Linked DNA regions of Mus musculus. The protein of the gene in region 3 purifies or fractionates together with the protein of the main gene of each other region. This does not show direct contact. Links are inferred from orthologs where the notes say so. Each region holds a gene or a part of one and is shown on either strand. Other genes may lie near its edges.

Region 1 (4,368 bases), on a different chromosome or scaffold from region 3:
ACGACTGAACCTTTGAATCTGGGTTCACACCACATTTTCATAGAAAGTTACTGACAAATGTAAAAGTATTACTAGTGCAGACCTCTCTGAAGACAGAGTAACAGCATAGCCAATGCTCAAACTTCCTTGCCTCATTTGGTGGTGGAGCCAGAAACTGATTCACAACTCCTTTCGTACAAGGACAGCTCTTACAGGGTTAGGATCTCTGAATATGAACCACAACTGACACCAAAAAAAAAAAAGAAGGCAACCAGGAAAGTCACCATGTGGTTGTCAGCAGTCACCTGGAAGACTTCACTAATAAAGCTATTTTTAGAGCGCATGCCAGTTCCACCCTCCTTCCTTTACTCCTGAGGTTCTACCTTCAGTGTAAAACCTGGGCCCCTGAATGGAGGGAACCAGAGAGCCATGGCAAGCAGAGGACACAGGGCTTCTCCAGCATGCATCACTAAGTCTAGCAGAGCGACAGTAAGCTTTCTTGTCAGCTAAAAAGGAAAACCCATCCTCTGCTCCCACATGACAGTGCACTGGACGAAGTGGCATCTAATTCCCTTTGAGAGAGGGCAAAAAATATCATACAACAAAAAGGGAATCACGTTTAGTGCTGGTGGTTACTCTTTAAAAGAGGTGATCAGACTATCACCAGACTATGGCCCTCTCTTACAGGAGCAAACCTAATGCTGACAGAGATGGGGGCTGAGGTTGGCTCAGTTGTCGGACAGACAAGTGTAAGGACCTGAGTACAGATCCCAGGACCCACATTTAAATCAAGAAAAAGAAAAGGAGAGGCAGGCAGATTTCTGAGTTCGAGGCCAGCCTGGTCTACAGAGTGAGTTCCAGGACAGCCAGGACTACACAGAGAAACCCTGTCTAGAAAAACCAAAAAAACAAACAAACAAACAAACAAACAACCCAAAAATGAAGGAAAAAGAAAAAGGGTAGGTTCAGAGGCATCTGCAACACCCTCGGGCACGTGCATGCGTGTGTGCACGTGTGTGCATGCGTGTGTGCACGTGTGCGCATGCGTGCACTCACTGGCTAGCCTGCTAGCAGTGGATAGGCTCCAGGGTCAGGGAAGAGACCCTGTCTTCAAAAAGTAAATAATTAAAAATTAAAAAGGCGAGCAGTAAAGTAAGACACCCAATACCCACCTCAGGCCCACACAGATGCACATGTGCATGCATACACAACACACAAAGAGTTGGCAAATATTTCAAGTAGTTAGCCAGAACAATACACATCTGGATATCTGATTCACCTGAGGGAATAAAATAAAATAAAAACTACTTTTTGCAGAAGCCTCCGATTCTTTCTACATCCGAGTCATTCCTTCCTAAACAGCTCCTGGCTCTGAGACTCATCATTTTACAATTCTCTGAGGACACAACCCAGCCATGCCTTCTTCCCTGAGTCAGGACCCAGTAATGCCTGACACACATGTGGAAGAAAAACATCTCCCAAATGAAGGTGCCAGCCACTTGTCTTCTCCAGCCTCTGCTCACACATGACAGTGCACTGGACGAAGTGGCATCTAATTCCCCTCGAGGGAGGACAAAAATATCATACAACAAAAAGGGAATCACGTTTAGCGATTCCTCTTCTAAACTCATTACATAGGTTTACAGCCCGTAAGTATACCAGGCCGGGTAGCAAACTAAACTATTGACAACCAAGGACACCAAACTTTAGTCTGGCCAGCTTCAGAAGTAGTTATAATTCACTTTCCAGTTCTTACACTCAATTCTGATCCAATATTACCAAGATCGAAGAGAAATATGCCAACAAGAGATTTTATTAACTCAATCATGTGGGTATCAGTTGCTGAAGTCACAAGAAAGAGACAAGAGTTTATTCTTTGGAAAACCAAAAACACAAGATTTTCAACGGTGAAGAGTCAACAGGTTAGGTTGTTGTAGAAATTCTTGTAGAAAGGTGCACACAGTAGGCATGCCAGACCTGACTCAAGGAAAAGAGCTGGCTAAGAAACCTATTCAAATCCAATACATACCTTGCCAGAATTCAAGATCTTCTGGTTTGATGACACTACACTACCTTATATGCCTTGTAATATGCCTTGTAAGTCACAAGTACAAATACAACATGGCTTTAAGGTAGGACTAAGAGGCTCTCAAATGACATCACTAGACAGGAGGTGGAGGGGGGTGCTGATGGCAGATAACAGGTGGCAGGCTTTGGGGGCATCTAAAGTACAAGAGGCCAGAGGCCAGTAAGTGCTAAGTAGTCTAGCTGCCTATGTTTCAACCTCTCACTCTGAAATTTATCAGCGGTGTGACCTTGGTCGAGTGCCTTAGCCTCTCTGTTCTTCGCTTTCTCTGTAAGTAGGCACTGCCTCGGTGCTTCGGAGGGGCTGTTGGGAGAACAGGGCAATTTGTGCGGTCTTGCCACGCAGCCCAGCAGCCGAGAAATCTCAAATCTTCACAACCTTACTCTCAACATCGGCACGATTATGAGCCAGGAGGACATCAGGCCATTTGAAAGGCACTCGGGAGGTCCTTCTTCCCGGAACTTCGGAAACGGGATTTACCCTGCAGGACCCTGAAAGCTCCTGTCTCCCAGTGCCGGCGGCGGGCCGGGGCATGTGACGCGCCTGGCAGCACTGCCTCGGTGGCCGGCCGGCCGGTAGCTCTTCCCACCCAGCAGGTTGCCGGTGGGGACGCGCCCAGCCCGAGGATCCCGTACCCGCCACCCACCGATCGCCGATCGCCCTCCGCCCGCCGGGCGCCGCCCCGCCTGGCCCGGCCCAGCTCGGCGCTCGGCTCGCCGAGGACGCCAGGCCCGGAGGCCCAAGCGGCGGCGGGGGAAGGGCGGCCGGGGCCCGCTGCTCACCGCAGGGTCAACGGAGGAGGAGACACAACGCAGGCCGCAACAGAGACGTCCGATTCCGGCTCCAGCAGGCTCCTCGGAGCTGCCCGGCCCCAAACACCGCCGCCAACGCCGCCGCCTTGGGCTTTATGGTCAAAGCTCCGGCCTTGCTTCCACTTCCGCCACCGCCGCCGCCCCGAGCGGAAGTGTCTGTCACGAGACGCCCGACGCCAGGGTTGGAGGGAGGAGCCCCACCTCCACCTTGCGTCACGTTCCGGTCGCGTCAGGCCCTAGCCTGGCATCTGGGGCTTAAATATGGCCGTTTCTAGATGGGGGCTGCCATCTTTGAAGGCTGTGCAGAAGCTGGAGCGCACCATATTGGGCCAAGAACTGATAATGCAGTGGTGTCCCCCCCCCTCATCCCACCCCGCTCCTATAAACAGAGCTAAAGGAGGGAGAGTCACTTGGTCTTTCCAGAGTGTCCCCCTCTGGAACACGCTAGTCAGTCAGCCATGTATCAGGCAGGGTATAGTCTAGGGTCTTCTGAGTCCACTGGGTACAATCTCTAATGTGGATGGAAATGATCAGTTACAGTGTCCCCAGTGTTGGAGACCCAGTGATGAAATAGGAGCTACCTGTGCAGGGCAGATGGTTCAGGAAAATGGAAAGAGAGCTAAGGAGTTGCTGAACTGAAGAGACATGAGGCTGATTTTAGTGTCACGCCCACCAAAACTAAAACAAAGGCCTAATCCATCAAAGTCCATATCTTTCTGGGGAAGTCTCAAAATGTACTAACCTTGCTTTTTAGCTTCTGTAGTTCTGTTTATGGCTGACAGTTCTTGTTAACTGAAGTATGTCAACCCAGAACATGTTTTTTTGTGTGCTTAAAAGCTCACCCTGAGAAAGACTCAGGTTGTCCTGGGGTATTGAACACCCAGTGCAGTAACCAGCTGCCATTTCTTAGCTTAAACCCATATCTGAGTAGTCTTTTCTGGTGAATACCCCACAACACTAGTACATGTTCTAGCATATAAGGAATAGAGAAGGTTTGTAGGTCCTAAGGAATAGGGGAAAACAAGACCTTTCTGCCAAGATCCTCACCATTTGATATAATAGACACACACACAGGAGTTTGCTCAGTTTCAATCATTAGTTAATTATTACTTGGCCATTTGACTGAATACTTTGAAACTAAGATATGAACAAAGGAAGTCTATGTATATTCATATGCAAAGTGAAATCTTCAAGAAATATGAAGTGACAAAGTAGGGTGCAAAGATGTATATGTGACAGTTCTTGGTTCTTGTTGGGGAAAAAAAAAACACATACTTGCTGGGTACAAATTTCAGCAACTAGTTATCTGGGTTATCTATTAAAATTTGACCGGATAGTAGGACCCATATGAATCTGGTGGTCCAGTCAGACTTTCCACAGTTGTAGGGATGCAGGAAGCTGGTTCAGGCCCTGTCTCTCTACCTCATGTTGGATATAGCATCAGCCTCCACATGGCAGATAGACCAGCAGTTTGGAAGCAAAGCTGCATGT
Region 2 (4,520 bases), on a different chromosome or scaffold from region 3:
AAAGTACATATAGCTAGACAGCATATGGACCATTAGATTTCTGAAGCCATAGGCAGCGTTCCATCATATGTGCGTCTCCGTAAGTTCCCAGACAGTGGCACGTGGTACCTTTAAAGTTACAGCTGTTAACTGAGAGCTCTCGTGTCTGATGGCTAGAATGTCGTGTCATGTTAGCTCTCGGGAGGCGTGTGAGAGTCAGTGAAGTGTTAACAGCAGAAACTACCCGCATACCAGACACCTTGCTAGCCTAAGGACAAGCTAATGGAGATGTACTGATCTAAGTGGTTACTTTCCAACACTTAGAAGTACAGGCATGGCGTTTTCCTAAGTACAAAATGTAATACCCTGAGGGTAGGAAAGGGACTGATTGGGAGCCAAGCCATGAACTAGGAGGTAGCAGTTGTCCCCCAGAAAGTCCAGGATGAATAACTCAAAACTCATGGCCAGACTACTCTCATGCCAGGGCATTCTCAAAGGCTCTTCAAAATGCCTCTGCCTACTGCCATGCCAGACCATTCAGTGCATGGGGAGCCAGCCTTCACAAAGACACCCTGGCTTCTTATCCTGTCAGGCATGGTATACATAAGAGAGACCTATAGGACTCATGTCTCACCTTTGGTAGGTGAGAAGAAGCTAGCTAATGAACCTGATACTCCCAAGAAGAGATAATACTATAAACTTGGAATTATTTGCCTCTTTTCCACTTTGCACAGTGGGGAGGCTAGGTTTTACTTGGATGAAAGCAACAAAACAAAGACAAGTCATTCTTTAAGAAAATGTATTTGTTCCTCTACAGCATTAATAGGGAAGTGGAATACATCTGTGCAAAATACATGTCTGCAAAGTGAGTCTCAGATTGTATCCTTTGTAAAGCAGGTTTCTTGTTGCAGCCTTACTCCTGGGTTTTCCAAATACTTCTAGTCTGTTTTGGCCTTCATAGCTGCCTCCTCTCTCAGACGGGCTTTCCTTTCCAGGTTCAAGCTTGTTAAAGACTCATGTCTTTTCGCAGCCTAAAAGGAAATACATTTGGAGAGATGATGGCAGGTCTGGAAGGCTGTTCTCCCCTTGTGCTGAGAGCAGTAGGCTAGCTGTGCAGCACAGGCCAGGAGTGGTCAGCTGCCTGGACACTGGACAGTCATGCTCTCTACACACCTTCCACCCCCTCCCGGGAGAGAAATACACAGCTCCCCCTTCTCTGCATGTGCGGCCTCTCTACAATCCCATGTCTTCTTCACACCCTTCCCTATTCTACAATATACAGCACTTCACCTCCACTTTTCTCCTTTCTGCTTCCCTAACTCGTGTACACTTTCCTGTCTTTCTAGCCTTTTCTTTTAACAAAACATGCAGCTTTGGGAATCCCTGATGACTTCTAGAATTATCTATCCCAGAACTCCACCCCTTCAAAGCAACTGGCAGCAGGGGAGCCCCTGCCATTTCTTTGGCTTCCCTCAATGGGAACTGTTAAAGTTGTATGAAGCTTCTATAATCAGACCAATGTTTATGTCAAGTATGTGGATTTTCTGACATCCATGTTACTGCACATGTGAAGAGTTTGGTGGGAGGAGAAAATGGATGGGAAACAAATGTCAGCGGTAAGACAAAGCATGATGGTAACTAACTCCTCTCCTAAATGACGTTAGCGCAAAAGCTTCTCCTCCTAGCACAGCCTGGAAGGTGCTGGAGGACGTCCTAGGGGGATTCACTCCTGGAGATCTTGAACGTCAGCCAGCCATCTCTCACACTTCTAGAAACCCACGTGCCCGTGCACAGGCTTCTAAAGCTTTCAGTCTGAGAACCATGAATGGGAGGTCAGAGGTCACACGAGGAGATGGGAAAAGTGAAGTAGAACAGGCTCACTTTCAAGAGAACTTCTCCCAGGTCAGCCCCCGTGGCCCTTTGTGCCCCTATGAGGCCAGACTGAAATGGCTAGTGCGTTTATGTGACCGCAGTGTCACCGCAGAGTCCCCAGTTCCCTTCCTTTTTACTCTGGAGTTGCTCAGGAGAAGATCAGTTGACAAGTGCTTCTTCAGAGGTAGCTTTTAAATATGGACTAACAGTTTCTCTGTGTGAAAGCTGTAACACAGAACTAGACATGATTTTCAAAGTGTGTGTCTGAGTTTAAAAGCAGGCGCACACACACTACATTTTACTTATTTTTATTTTGTGTGTATAGATATTTACCTGTATGTATGTACATGTACACATATGTGCATGGTATCTGTGAAGGCCAGAAAAGGGTGCCAGGTTCCCAGGAACTGGAGTTACAGATGGTTGTAAGCTGCCATGTGGGTGCTGGGGAACCGAACCTGGGTATTCTCTACAAGGGCAGCAAGAGGCCCTAACCACTGAGCCATTTCTCCAGCCTCCAGAGTAACTATATCTTAATAACAAGATGGTTTAATAGGATATTTGGTACATGCAAAATTAGATCTAAAGTTTTTCTTTTGATTATTTTTGTTTTGTCTGTAGAGCCCTGGCTGTCCTGGAACTCACTCTGTAGACCAGGCTGGCCTCAAACTCAGAAATCCGCCTGTTTCTGCCTCCCAAGTGCTGGGATTAAAGGCGTGTACCACCACCGCCCAGCTTGAATTTTTTTTTTTTTTAATTTCAAGTTTTTGTCTCCATTTACTATGTGAGTTCTGGAAAGTGTATGGTGCATGTGAGCTTCAGGTTCCTTCATTACAAAGCCTGCTGAGAGAAAGCGCTCTCAGGTTCTCACATCCAGTGAGCTTAACAGTTGCTGCTGTAGAGCACACATTCTGTACTGAGGAGCAATTTTAGCTTTACCTCAATTATGTCTAGGTTCCAATTCTGTCATTAGGGAAATGCATGGCTTTGGGCAAGTATATGCCAATACTTACTTTAAAACGCTATTATTTATTGTGTGTGTGCAAACACACATGTGCTCCAGAGTGCATGTGGAACATCCAGGGTGAGTCTTAGGAGTTGGGTCTCTCCTACCAGCTATTGGGACGAAGAGACTGAACTCATGTCATCAGGCCTCTGCCGCTGAGCTCTCCTTCTCCAGCCTGCTGCTAAAGCATCCGAAGCTACACTTTCCTCCTCTCATGGTAGCATCTGTCTAGCAAAGCAGTTGTGAGGGGCACATGAGGACACCACTCAGAAGGGCCTGGAGTGCACTGAGCACTCAGTCAGTACACTAATACAGAGTATTCTGCGAGCCAGTAAATTCACACGACGTGTTCCCCTTCACAGAGCTAAGGTGTGAGCCAGGCACCACGTTCCTCCATCTTTGGGGAAAGCATGGTGAGGCCGAGAGGAGCCCACTCTCACCTTCTTGCCCTCAATAACCATATAGATGCATCCTGCCACGGTCAGGGCAATCATTAGATAGCTGACCTTCACCCGGAGCTTGTTCTTCGCAGCATCAAGCATCTCAAATCTAGCAACAGAACGAGAAAGCCGTATTAACCCTTCTCTTTCTCAACTTGTAGCAGGATCAAACACTGTGCATCGCAACGTTTTCTATTCACAGACAGTGATGTCTGTGAATAGAAAAAAGAAGCTAGGACCTAGGGACCTCATAGCACCTTGGAGAGGGTTGACCAAGTTCAAGACTAATCTTTTTGGTTGTTCTTGGAGACAGGGTCTTTCTTGCTTTATAGCCCAGGCTGGCCTTGAACTCATTCTTCTCTCAAAAGCTCTGCTATGAGCTAAAGTAAACTCACAAAGACACAGTTCAGAAAGAAAACAAACGTGGAGGAGTTAATATACTTTTTGTACTCCACATTTTCACTTTTTGGGGGAGCGGAGGGTTAAGACAGGGTTTCTCTGTGTAGTCCTGACTGTCTCCAGGTGGGAGAAGGACCCTGAGCACACACAATGAGACATAAGAGCTGGAACCTGGGAGGCAGAATTGTGCATGGAGCTCTCCAGGCTCTGAAACTGACCCTGCAGGATGGAAGGAACCAGGGACAAATTCTAAAGACAGTGAATGCTTACTTAACTGCTTAACTAAAATCATTGGAGATCCCACCAGCCACAAAAACATTTTTAACAGGTGTGGTGATTTGAATGAGACTGTCATCCCACAGTCTAGAGCAAATAAATCCTTGGTTGACTTGGACCAGGAGGCTGTTCTTCAGTGACAGGTTCCTAAGGGGAAGAGTTGAGGATGAGGAAATAAAGAAGATGGGAAGTCAGGACCAGGAGGCCGTGCATAAGCTGATAGCTTATGCCAAGCAAGTTTATTAAGAAGAACACAATTTGTTTGTTTGTTTGTTTGTTTTTTTTGAGACAGGGTTTCTCTGTGAAGCCCTGGCTGTCCTGGAACTCACTCTGTAGACCAGGCTGGCCTCGAACTCAGACATCCACCTGCCTCTGCCTCCCAAGTGCTGGGATTAAAGGCGTGCGCCACCACTGCCCGACAGAAGTACACAATCTTATAGAGTCTTCGAGGAGGATGGGACAGAGTCAGCAGAAAGCTGCCATACAATGCTTCTCGAAAGGATCCCAGGCTATCTCAAGTGTGTCACACACAGACAATTCCAATTTCT
Region 3 (4,322 bases):
AGTTACATGCAGAGCAGCATGCACACAGTACCGAGCAATCATAGTTTAGCATGAACATTAAACACCCATCTCCAATCTCACAATAAAAACTTCTAGAGAAGAAGGAGAACAGTGCTTTACTTTCTCCCTTCTTTAACAACAGTCGGGAAGGATCAACACATATGAAAATAGCAAATTCTGTAGAGACATTCCAGTCAGGATAAACAGGCAGACATCTCCATGGATGGCTGTTAGAATGTAGCCACTATACTAAATGGTCATTGTAGTCAAATAACCAAGTTACTACTCAGAGCCCAGAACTCTGACAGGTACTAAGAGAAAGGGTTACAGGAGTCACGGCCTTCATGCTTGTCATCTACCTGAGTAGACAGTCCCAAATAAGCAATGGCTTTCCCAACTTCTCCATGCAATCATGGTAAAACATACATAATAAAGGAATATAACAAAACCATGTGAAATGCAGAAATCACATACAAAGCCAATAAATCAGACTACACATAAATCATTCAAAACAAATTAGCTTCTGCCTCCTTAAGGGAAAAGAGCTGTAGATATTTATGGGCTATGAAATTAACAGCTTCGTGAAAACGAATCAATAACTTACCACACCGCTGCATGACTTCGTCTTCACATCCAGCTTCACCAGCCCAAAGCCTTCAAAAAGAGAGGGCAAAGATATGATTCTTCTGCAGAAAAGACGTATACCCACACTCAAAGTACTGTGAACATAATCCCAAAGTCCGGGACAGAAATGGACAAATGCACAGCACATGAAGGAACATTTACAAGCAGTCAGCTCTGCTAAGGTGACAGTAGCGCTGCCTAGTGTCCTATAACTGGCTCCACTTCCTGCCGCACCCTTTTCAAGCCATTTTTAAACGTTAGATTAAAAATCAGTTCCTCAGACTGGCCTACTGTTTATGGCAACACACTTAGGACTTTTATCCCAAAAGGGTATCACCAAAGAGCAAGGGGTAGTGGTATGTGCAAAACAATCAATTTTCAAGAAAGCACAAAAATTGACTCAAAACTCTAAGGTTTCCACCTACCCAGAGTCATAACCACAAAAATAAAACAGTAATTCTAGGCAGCTCTATCCAACCATGGTCTGAACTGTCACTTAAAAGAATAAAGTACAGGCTTTCCCCTCTCCCTAGGGGGTGGGGAGTGGGGTGGTACTCGCCTCCCATCACTTGGGAGGCAGAGGCAGGTAGATCTGAGAGTTCAAGGCCAGCCTGGTCTACAGAGTGAGTTCCAGGACAGCCAGGACTACAGAGAGAAAGCCTGTCTTGAAACAAAACCAAAAAACAACAACAAAATAAAAAGAACAAGCTTTTCAATTGTGACCGAAGAAAGGCTAAGAAAGTGGGGTACACATGCAGCTGGCAGAGGCATGAGTGCAGCAGGGTATTCAGTCTAGAAAAGCAAAGCAATTAACTTTTTTCAAGAGGTCCAAGCATATATTTTTCTCTTTTATGTTTAAAAGGGAAAAAAGTCCTTACCAAATCCTTTGTTGAAAATGTCTCTGGCAGCTTTGCCGAGGTCAGCATAGGGTGGAGGGATACACATCGCTAGTCAAAAGAAACATTCTACAGTTAATGTGAGCTACTACTAGGACCTACTGCTAACATTTACATTCAAGCAGTTCAACCGGAGTGGGTTTTGATGCCACTAGAACTTCAATAAATGTTATTCTAAAGTAGCCACCCATAACAAAAACTTATTTCTAAATAGCTATGTGGTAATACAAACCTGGGACATTTCTACCAAGTTTTAAGAATGGGGGAAGCCTTTCTAATTCCTAAACATAAGTGTCTACTGCCTACACAGTTGCCAAAACTCAAGGTGACTGATTTAACGGAGATAAAAACCAAAATTTAAGCTTAGGCGTTCTCCCCTAACAAACCTTTGGGAAGGACTTCCAAAATCAAAACCAACACTCTGGGAACTGGCACAATTGAGACACGGGCAAAAAATACAACCATCTATGTCTACAGCAACTAAATATCAAATGGCACTTTAAACACATTACTACGGTCCCCCAAGTCCTCCGACAACGTGAGGCTTAAGGGCAAGGAATCCGAGCTCCAGGAGCAGCTCATTCATTCTCCAGTGCACATCCACGCCCTTAGGAACACGTGTAATGACCTTGTAGTGCACTCGACCTGTGCAGGCAGACAGCGAACTACTTCCTCTTGCAAAGTGACTGCTCTAACTCTCCGCCCCCCCCCCCCGAACCCCAAGATGGAATTCAACAACTAAGTGTTTTGCTTTCGGATTTGTAAGTAACATATCCAAAAGCCAAGGGTGGGTGCGGCCAAGGACCAACGCCCCAGGCGCGAGCCCCCCTATCTGCAACCCAACAGCCCAGCACCACGTCCGTCAACAGAGTGGCAGTGTAAGACTTAGGGGGCGCGCAAAGAAGCAAACTTTCCAAGTCTTTGCAGGCATCATGTGGGCCACGGCGGAACAAGGTATGGTTCTCTAAAGAGGAACAGCACAGCCCCCATGGCCCCATCGCGCAAACACCTCTTGTGCTACTTACGCCGTGGGCATACCGGTACACAGCACTCAGCCATGGCGAAGTCGCGGGGAAAAGGTGATCTGTGAAAGGGACAAGAAGTGCGGTCAGGGGACAGTCAAAGGGTCCCCTGGGGAGCTCGGACATTAGAGAAAGGGGCCGGGGCCGCTGCGGCCATCTTAGGGGACCAGGGCCGCCCTGAGTTCACTCAGGCTGCCGGCCCGCCCTAAGGCCCCAGAGTCGGCAAGAGGCGGGCACCATAGTACCTGCGGGTGTCCTGAGGGGCGCTGCCGCCACCGCTCGGCTCGCAGCTGAGGCCACTCCGCTATCTGAAAGTTGCGCTGCAGCCACCGCGGCTGGAGGGCGAAGTGAAGGAGACACCGTTGCGCCCCGCCGCAAGCCTGGCCTCCCCCAGCCAGGTCCCCGCCGCGGCCGCCCGGGCTGTCTACCGCGCCTGTCCTTGCCGCTCCGCCCGCTGCCCACTCCCACCTGCTCCGGAGTGACCACGTGGGTCGAGAGCACGGCGGTCTCCTTGGGTGAGCGGTCTCGGACCGTCCGGCGGGGACGGGGCGAGCAGGAGCTGCGGGGCCTCGGGTTAGGCAATGTCCAGGACAGCCCCAGAGGCGAGGACCTGGGAACGGCGGAGGCGGCGCAACGGCACCCGCGCGGTCAGGATGGGAGTGGCCACGCGAGTCGCGACGGGGCGGGGCGATGTGCCCCGCAGGGTCACGTGCACCCTCTCAGCCTCCTCCCTGAGTCCCAGCCTGGAGGTCTGAACTTAAGGTCCGGGTTGAGGGGGATGAAACACTCTCCCCAAGTGCAGCCTCCATGCTCTTCCCATCTCGGTTCACCGCCCACCGCCATGTCCTCCCCTGCTGGGACTAGGCTGGGCTCCAAAGGAACAAACTTGAGCCAGTCTCTGGGCATTTCTCTCGGAGCCTCAGGGTTGCGCTCCTGCAGCCTCCGTCTCACCCATATATGGTATGGGTTCACACACGCGCAGAAGCACATCCTGCTCTAGGAAGAGAAGCTTCCCCTGGTTGAGAGGCCTGGAGAGACAAGGGAATAACTGTAGGATTCATGCTGACCAGTCATTAGAATGCTGCTCTCAAGTTCTTTAGATATGCCAGAAGAGGGAGGGAGCAGCCAGTCCTGATGCCTATACCTGTAGTCCCAGATCTGGGCGGCAGAGAAATTACACCAGATTGAGGCTAAACTACAGAGTGAGGCAAAAGGTTAATAAAGATAAGAGACCGCTGGATAGTGGTGGTGCACACCTTTAATCCCAGCACTTGGGAGGCAGAGGCAGGTGGATTTCTGAATTCGAGGCCAGCCTGGTCTACAGAGAGAGTTCCAGGACAGCAAGGGCAATACAGAAAAACCCTGTCTTGAAATAATAATAATAGAGACCAGTTTGAGGCTAAACTACAGGGTGAGGCAAACAGGATAATAAAGATAGAATCGGAGGCTCAGTGAGTAAGAACCCTTATCTTGCTGTGCATGCAAGGGGACCTGAGCTCGGATCCCCAGCACCCAACACCCACATTAAAAGCCAGTAGTAGTTCCAGAAATAGAAACAAGAGGGTCACGGGGGCTCTGTCAACCTGGCCTGCAAACCGTGTTCTCTAAATTCTGTAAAAGGTGAAGAGCAGTAGACACTGTTCAAAACACACACACACACACACGTCAGCCATACAGAAGATTTAAAATGGAGACAACTGACACTTCAGCTCAATAAACTCAAATAATTTAGCCTGTGGACCTCAATTCCCTCATCTCTAAGATGCTGTTTAATAATCTT

What was found.
Region 1: the proteins of Vdac2 (region 3) and Rab7 purify together in Homo sapiens (affinity purification with mass spectrometry; 3 studies listed by BioGRID and IntAct, with this or other methods). This does not show direct contact. The link is inferred for Mus musculus from reciprocal best matches to the Homo sapiens genes VDAC2 and RAB7A.
Region 2: the proteins of Vdac2 (region 3) and Fam162a fractionate together in Homo sapiens (co-fractionation; 3 studies listed by BioGRID and IntAct, with this or other methods). This does not show direct contact. The link is inferred for Mus musculus from reciprocal best matches to the Homo sapiens genes VDAC2 and FAM162A.

The regions. Positions count from the first base shown.
Region 1 is NC_000072.6:88,042,226-88,046,593, forward strand, and holds the start of Rab7 (ras-related protein Rab-7a), read right to left. Parts: upstream 3,046-4,368; 5' UTR 2,848-3,045; intron 2,793-2,847; exon of another isoform or gene 2,712-2,792; intron 1-2,711.
Region 2 is NC_000082.6:36,043,082-36,047,601, forward strand, and holds the end of Fam162a (protein FAM162A), read right to left. Parts: intron 3,407-4,520; coding exon 3,298-3,406; intron 1,011-3,297; coding exon 918-1,010; 3' UTR 763-917; downstream 1-762. UniProt on the Homo sapiens protein: Proposed to be involved in regulation of apoptosis; the exact mechanism may differ between cell types/tissues.
Region 3 is NC_000080.6:21,830,133-21,834,454, reverse strand, and holds the start of Vdac2 (voltage-dependent anion-selective channel protein 2), read right to left. Parts: upstream 2,895-4,322; 5' UTR 2,788-2,894; intron 2,605-2,787; 5' UTR 2,580-2,604; coding exon 2,546-2,579; intron 1,572-2,545; coding exon 1,503-1,571; intron 655-1,502; coding exon 605-654; intron 1-604. UniProt on the Homo sapiens protein: Non-selective voltage-gated ion channel that mediates the transport of anions and cations through the mitochondrion outer membrane and plasma membrane.